2 linked regions of the Schizosaccharomyces pombe genome follow. The protein of the gene in region 1 binds, or shares a complex with, the protein of each later gene. Each region holds a gene or a part of one and is shown on either strand. Other genes may lie near its edges.

Region 1 (4,719 bases):
AATGATAGAACAAAGAACAGACAGTTTATGAGTTAGAGATCTTGACAAGAGATTCTCAATAAATAAAAATTAAAAGAAAAATTAATCTAGATTATGATTTTCAAGCACAGAGAGCTTGTATTTTCAAAATCGGTATAAAGAAAGGGTAACCAAGGAAAGCACAATGCTTTTATTGAGCTTTCTTTGGATTTCGTTCTTGTTTAACCAAAAAAAGAAAGGATTTTTAGGTAAATGAAGACTAAAGTTGCTCTTGCACTTAAAAAGCAAGAATAGGTCTAGGTAAAGATTTTAACAGTCAAGAGGGCAGCTTTTATACTAAATTCGGGAAGAGAAACCCCGACAAAAGTATCAAAAGTCCTTTGCTTTCAGTGAAATTTTAGACAGGATCGCCGGAGAGTTTTTGGTTATACGTCACAATATTACAAGGGCAACAAGGTAGTTAGCAAACTCTTGTATCATTGGACGCCGACTTAAAAAAACGCAGTCACACACAAATAAGAACGAATAAGATGTGGAATAGAATTTAAACGACGTGTATGACGAGGATCAACAGCTCGTTGAAAGTCAAGAACGAGGTAAAAATGTCACGATATCATTAATTCTCCATAGCAAAAAAAAAAATTCAATCGTAAAATGATACACTGTACGTAATGAAACTGATGCATATACTGGGGAAAGACACTATTAGTGAGGTAGAAAGCCGATAACAGGATGAAAAAACGACTTTCAATAAATGTGATGTAGGAATAATTCTCAAAAGTAAAGTAAATTTAAATACTTTGGCGACCGAGGCTGCAAGTTCGGACTGCTAGCAAATACAGAGTGTATTCCAACGTCAATAATTTTAGCAAAGTAACCGAAAAAACCAAGTATATTTCTATACTCCTCATATCGTTAAATCAAGATTGAACACAAAAAAACGTTTCCTGAGGCAAAAGAAGTAAAGTGTCTGCAGTAAAATTAATTCGCAAGGCGAAAAAATAATACCAATGGTGGCCATACGTATTGGAACCAGCAAATATCAAAGTTTAAAACACAGCATACTCTCATCGCTGCATGACTATCTCAAAGCTGGCAATAGAACAATTAACGTTACGGAACCATAATCCTTCAAATTTCGATTGCTTGCATTCTCGAGCTCCACATATTCGAGTCCATAACGGAACTAACCTAAATGCGGAGTTCCTCTAGTATTAACTAGTAACATGAATAGAGCATAGCCGTGCTCTTTTTTTTTAAGAAAACGTCACGCAACGTGTATCTTATCTCTGTCCTATCCAAGTCAGGATAGCTAGGGGCCCCCAACCTGGAGACCATACATCGACCGCGACACCAACCATCCTAGCGAGACTCCCTAACAAGAAGGTAAATATGGATGGACAATGAACCTTTTCAAAAAAAAACAGAATTCTCAAGCGATATATTCGCTCTTGAACAGTTCGGTGTAAAAGGATACTTCTATCCCTTGATTACGTGTACGCCCATACTTCATTCGGACTATAGAAGAAATATGGAGCTGTAACCCGTACTGCAATTGTCTGTGTTAAGAAAATGTAAACGCTGCACACTAAATCATCACTAATTCATCGCTAACTAACGTAGTCCCTAAAAAGTTATGAACTTGGTAAACGACTTTTGAGGCCTTGGGACCTCCTTAAATACGCCCAACTCATTACTAACAAGGTTTGCTATGTCCGTGAAAAGCGCCTATTGTACATATATTGCTCCCATATATGTGAAGCTTTTGCCCAATCATTGTAAGACAGGGTCTTGCTATATTTCCCTACCCCGCTCCATTCTTCCCAAGTCTGAGAAAAACTGTGGAGAAGCCTACCAATTTTGCCTAAGGGGATTTTGATCCCGCCTCTGCAATCTATTGGACGATAATAGCTATAACTACATTTGATTGGATGAAAGACATGTGATGAATGCTGGATGGTTTTGTTGTTTTTAAATGACCACCGATAATTTTTTTAGTTAGTACGCATACATTGATGAAAGCTGAAAAATTATAATAGGGTGAATAAATGAAATTCTTTTTGTGTCTTTTACTCTAATATCGTCTGGCAATTTTCTATTTTCGTACTTCGATAGCGCCATACATGTCTTGTCACCCGTTTTTACGAGCTAGGCTTAGAAATATCTTGGAATTTTTTTTCAGACATGTTGATGATTGGCTGATACTTTTTCCAGTTCTGCCTCCTCCACAATTTGCATCCGCGTTTTCCAGAGACGTTGGGGCAATAACTTTGTCTAACATTAAATTGAAATTACAAGGGTAAGTATTTGAATCAAGACTAACCTTTATACGTTGAATGTCTTCGATATTGTAGAGAATGCCTTGAAAAAAAAATTTTATTTGTGTTAATACAATCTAATATTGTGGAATAAAAAATGGTTTGTGACTGCTCTTCTGTTCTCGGCTGTTGTATTTCTTAATAGGACGGCTCGTAAAATTCGTTATTTGCGCGTCCAGTACACCATCGATTCCCATATTATCCACAGTTTACAAATAACAATATTTATATCATTTTCTTTACTTTGGGTAAACGCTCTCTTTCAGTAACTAAATCAATTGTTGTTTATAAAATTTTTATTCTTTTGTTTGCGCGTTCAAAATTTGTCTGCACGGTAAATCATTAACGCATAAACTCGGTTCTTTTACCTAGGTATCTCGTAAATTATATAAGGATTTGTACCATATTGTAACAAAATACAAGGCAAACTGAATTATTGTACAGATTATCGTATTCACTATTCAAGCATTCGTAACTTTTTCTGCAACTGAAAACAAGATTAATGAGCAACAACATGGTCAAACATAGCGATGCGTTATCGTGTTAAAACTACGTCCATTTATTGAAGTTCTTCCTTTCGCGATCTTTAACTTGGATAAGGAGTGTTTCTCTCCATTTGATATTTGGTACATTAGAGTACTGTATTTTGAAAACAAGCGCTTTTAGAATACATCCAACGAAATATTAATGCTGGCTATAATTTACATTTTGAAATTGAATGTAAAGTCAACCATTACGAGCCATATTTACTAAAACAAGGTGGTACCTGAAAGACTACTTCTTTTGGTAATTAGCTGGAATTTAATGCCATAAGCTGGATTGTCTTCCAATTTTTAAATACTCGTGTTTTTTGATTCATCATAACATTAGTGCCGAAATTCACTGTGAATATCTTTTTATATTTAACATCCAATGGATCCTCAAACAAATTCGCATCAAGAGGTTCAACAACCATCTCCTAAAGAGACAGACTCTCAAACACCGTCAGAGACTCTCTACATACGCAACATTGAAGAAAAAATTCGTCTTACTAGTATGCCACTAATTTAAATTGTTTTAATTTAATTTAATTTCTAACAATCGTAGTGTTGAAACGAATTTTAGAACATCTCTTTGGGTCTTATGGTAAAGTCATAGATGTTCAAGCAAGAAAGACTTTGCGAATGCGCGGTCAAGCATTTGTAGTATTCGACAACTTGGAGAACGCGTCACGAGCGTTAAAGGATTTACAAGGATACCCTTTGTATGGAAAGCCCATGATGATACAGTACAGTAAATCTAAAAGCGATATTATCGTACAAAGAGAATCTCCTGAAGAAATAGAAACTAGGAAAAAAGATAGGAAAAATAGGAGAGGTATAATCTTTTTTATTCTAAAATCAAAGACCTCACTTTACTAACCTTATATTATAGAAATGCTTAAACGGACTAGCGCTCTTCAACCCGCAGCTCCCAAACCCACTCATAAAAAGCCGGTTCCTAAACGTAATGTTGGAGCTGAGCGTAAATCGACAATTAATGAAGATTTGTTGCCTCCTAATAAGGTACTTCTGTTACAAAATATCCCTCAAGAAGTAAACGCAGACGTCCTTACACAAATTTTCGAAGCGTTTTCTGGATTTCAAGAAGTACGTATGGTTCCCGGTAGAAGAGGAATTGCATTTGTTGAATACGATTCTGATAGAGAAGCAACGGTCGCAAAAAATGGGACAACAGGTATGTCCCTCAGTGGAAATCAAATAAAGGTAACATTCGCTCGGAAGGCCTCGTAGTTGATTCTGCAACTATTTTAATTCCCTCTTTCAAATTTTTGTTGCAATAATCATCCAAAAGTCACCTTTCGAAATATATAAAGCTCCTATCATTTTCATAATTGATCATTTGTGTATATAAATTATATAATGCAATTTTGCAGGCCCAAAATTATGTATATCAAGCATGTAATTATGTTAAGCTTTCAGTACCTTGAACCCGCTATATTTTCCAGACGATCCTTTCATTAATTCGATATTTCCTTTTTTCATTAGTAGCTCAAGAACTTTATGGAGGAGTACTTCGTCTAAACAATCTACCTCTTTATATTGTTCTTGAAGTTCGTAAAATGTACATATAGACCCTTCTCGTCCCATATCGGATAGCTGTAAAACAATTAGTACTTTCGACTATGCAGAAAATGGCTTACCCATTTCAAGATCATATTCCCCCATTCAGATATAGACCTCCAGTATACCCAAAACACGTCTTTAGGATTTCGCTTTTCAGTCCATTCTGCTAGGTTTTGTTTCACCATATCCTCTACTATTTCTCGAAACACCGAAAGAGGCAGCGTTCCTATTTGGTAAGAAAGAAAGTTAGCACTAAGGAGTAATACAAAGAGTTTTCTTACTATGAATTGTACTGTTATGAAGCAAAGAACTTTCTA
Region 2 (3,361 bases), on another chromosome or scaffold:
TTCCTCCTGTGTCGAACCTTCCTCTTAATCCCCCCATTCAAAGCAGCAATTCTCGTTTATCGCATGATAATAACAGTTTCGATCCTTTTGCTTACCTTGGATTGGATCCAAAAAATCCATCTGCTTCTTTTCCAAGAGTTGTTTCTCAAAACAACATGTTAACTAATAAACCTGTGTTGAATAATCACTTTCAGCAGAGTATGTATTCAAATTTACTTAAAGACCAAAATTCTGTTCAGCATTTATTTGCCGCTAGCGACATGCCTTCTCCAATGGAATTGCCCTCGCCAAGTACTGTTTATCATCAAGTTTTTTATCCTCCCACTTCGACTTCCGTTAGTTCCTATGGTTTAGGCAAAACTCCGCAACCAGCATACGGATCTTCTTCTCCCTATGTAAATGGTCATCAGACTCAACAAATTTCTTCTCTTCCTCCTTTTCAATCTCAGACTCAGTTTTTAGCTCGAAATTCCGATAACTCAGGTCAATCATATAATTCGGAAGGAGACTCAAATTCAAAAAGGTTATTAAGTATGCTCTCTCAGCAGGATACGACACCCTCATCTTCTACGTTAAGCAAAGAGGCAAATGTTCAATTAGCGAATCTTTTTTTGACGCCTAATTCATTAGAGACAAAGAAATTTTCTGACAATAGTCAAGGAGAGGAAATATCAGATAATTTGCATGGTGAAAGTTGTAATAATCCTAACGCCAATTCTGTACACTCCGCACAATTACTTCAAGCTCTCTTACATCCATCCGCAACCGAAACAAAAGAGGAAACACCGAAAAAGACATCTGATTCGTTAAGTTTACTTACACTTCTTAAATCTGGATTGCCTACTCCTGCAAACGATTTGCAAAATAAATCACAGAATAACGAACGCAAAGCTTCCAGTCAGGTAAAGGAGTTGGAGGTCAAAAACTACAGCAAAAGCACTGATTTGTTAAAGAAGACACTTCGTATTCCCAGAAATGATGAGCCACTAGAAGCCGCTAATCAGTTTGATTTACTAAAAGTATCTCCGCAACAAAAGTCTGAGGTTCCTCCTAAACGAAACGAATTATCGCAATCAAAATTGAAAAATAGAAAGAAGAAGGAGAATTCGGAAACCAACAAAAACCATGTTGATATGAGTCCTGGTTTCGTTAAGATTTTAAAACGTTCGCCTTTGGCAGATCAAAAAAAGGAAGATACCCAGGAATCCGATTTCAAAGGGTCTGATGATCATTTTCTGTCATATTTACAATCTGTCGTGTCTTCTAACTCCAATGGTCTTCATTAATTTGTTATTCTAATTGGCATTGCATTAGAAACTAATGAACGACTGTGTAATACACATATGGTATTCTCTTCTAAAGTTATTCCTTTAATGTTTATTTTTCGTTTTACATTCAAATTGTTAATGAATATCAAGACTACTGACTTTAAATGAGACTTAGATGTTAATGTTGAACACTGAGTTAATCTAGTGGCTCTTTTCATTTTTTTCTATCACTTTTTGTTGAGAATAACGGTCTACTCAATGTTCTGTTGTTGTCGTTTTAATCATGCATGAATTCAACGTTGAAATAAGGATTTCCCTAACTTTTATTAGCTGGTGAGGCTTTTCGTCCTTTAAAATTATGAGGTTTCCTTTTGATGCAGCCCATGCGTGTACTAGGTTTATTCATAGGGTAAATACATATTTGCTTCCCTTTTATGTCAAATAAATATGACTATATAATTTGCTTACATATTTTAATAATAAGCGAAAAAATTGTACTGTACGCCCCCACATAGCACTTATTATACAGGCAATATCGCTTTACTGGGATATACCCTACACAGCATTGCACCCACACACTTCTAAATAAAAAAAAACAATTCATATAGAATGGCTGAAAAATTACCGGCTCCTCTACTTGCATTGTTTGCTCCACGTCCCCCATTGAGGTATCTGCCTCCTATGGATGTGCCTCCTGAGAAACGTTCAACACCTCGCGTTTCAGGCATAGCAAAATATCTGAAATATGCGCAGTCTCACGATCAACAATATCACCCGACTGAAAGCTTGGAAGAAAAGCGTTTGCGTCTTAGAGACGAGAAACAAAAACAGCAACGAGAAAGATTACGGTCCATGATTAAGGTATGGGATCCTGATCACGATCGCCATGTCATTGGAGATCCATATAAAACTATGTTTCTTTCTCGGTTAAGCTATGATACCAAGGAAAGCGATATTGAACGAGAATTTACTCGATATGGGCCTATCGAGCGCATACGAGTTGTTCGTAATAAAGTTACAGGAAAATCAATGGGATATGCATTTGTTGTGTTTGAAAGGGAACGAGATTTAAAAGTTGCTTACAAAGCATCAGCTGGTTTGATGCTAAATGGAAGGCGGATAGTGGTCGATGTCGAAAGAGGTAGAACTGTAAAAGGATGGCTACCGCGTAAGTTAGGTGGTGGACTTGGCGGGCGACATTATACAAAAGAAAGGCCGCGACGGGAACGGGGATCCCGATTTCGTGGCGACTCTGGATTTCGTGGTGGCTATCGAGGAGGATTTCGAAAATCTTCTGGAGGAGGGTCAAGATTTGGTCGTGGTCCTACTCGCTCCTCTCACTCTTCAGACTATGGAGGAAGAGATAGTTCCCCTAAGCGTCGTCGCTACAATTGATGTTAGAAAGTCTCACTTCAATGTTAACGCTAAACATAATTTTTTGTATACTCTTGATTACTCATTCTTTCTTCGAGTTATCATGTTAAAATGGAGAAGCGCATAGAAGATTGGAGACGCCTAAATTTAAATAAGTACCATGAGTTGGCTTCTGGTCAGTCAAACTTTTCAAACACATATATGAGATATCCTTCTTCGTTCTTTTAATGAAATTTAATATTAATTTCTCTGAATGCATCATTATTAATTTTGTGAAACAAATTAATAGTTTTGAGAGGAGTATGTTGCGCTTCACTACATCAATTTAATGATGTTGCCGGTATATATTATGTTTCTTAGCTCTTAAGTTTCGCACACATAATTATTTTGACATTATAATTTCATAGTAGTTATGAAAGTACCTTTCGTAAATTTCATGATCTCCTCCTTTCCTGCAGCAGTACTTGTCGGCGCTGTAGTGGGGTTTATGATCGGACGCAAATACAGTGTAGCAGATGCATCAAGAGGTTATAGTTCCAAAAATGCCAACAAAGCATCTAACCCAGAAAAAGAAAGTCCTGTTTCTGTTAGCAATGATGAAGACAGCGAGTCCGAAACTGAACTTTTAGATATGCTGAAAGGAAACAGCAGTTTGGCTGCGCTTGCATTGGCGGAAGGACAAACTAAAATGGTATTGGTCGTTAGGACGGATTTAGGCA

What was found. Proteins that work in one complex are often made in the same cells at the same time.
Region 2: usp102 (region 1) and usp101 share a complex: the UniProt entries of both Schizosaccharomyces pombe proteins name them as parts of the spliceosome.

Annotation. Positions count from the first base shown.
Region 1 is NC_003423.3:3,422,722-3,427,440, reverse strand, and holds usp102 (U1 snRNP-associated protein Usp102), read left to right. Parts: upstream 1-2,961; 5' UTR 2,962-3,209; coding exon 3,210-3,330; exon of another isoform or gene 3,331-3,383; coding exon 3,384-3,653; exon of another isoform or gene 3,654-3,710; coding exon 3,711-4,069; 3' UTR 4,070-4,219; downstream 4,220-4,719. Other genes in the region: ESCRT II complex subunit Vps25, read right to left, coding at 4,247-4,435, 4,480-4,628, 4,684-4,719. UniProt on the Schizosaccharomyces pombe protein: Involved in nuclear mRNA splicing.
Region 2 is NC_003424.3:2,460,651-2,464,011, reverse strand, and holds usp101 (U1 snRNP-associated protein Usp101), read left to right. Parts: upstream 1-1,829; 5' UTR 1,830-1,877; coding exon 1,878-2,663; 3' UTR 2,664-2,861; downstream 2,862-3,361. Other genes in the region: mRNA-decapping complex catalytic subunit Dcp2, read left to right, coding at 1-1,286; pth2 (aminoacyl-tRNA hydrolase), read left to right, coding at 3,055-3,361. UniProt on the Schizosaccharomyces pombe protein: Involved in nuclear mRNA splicing. Essential for growth.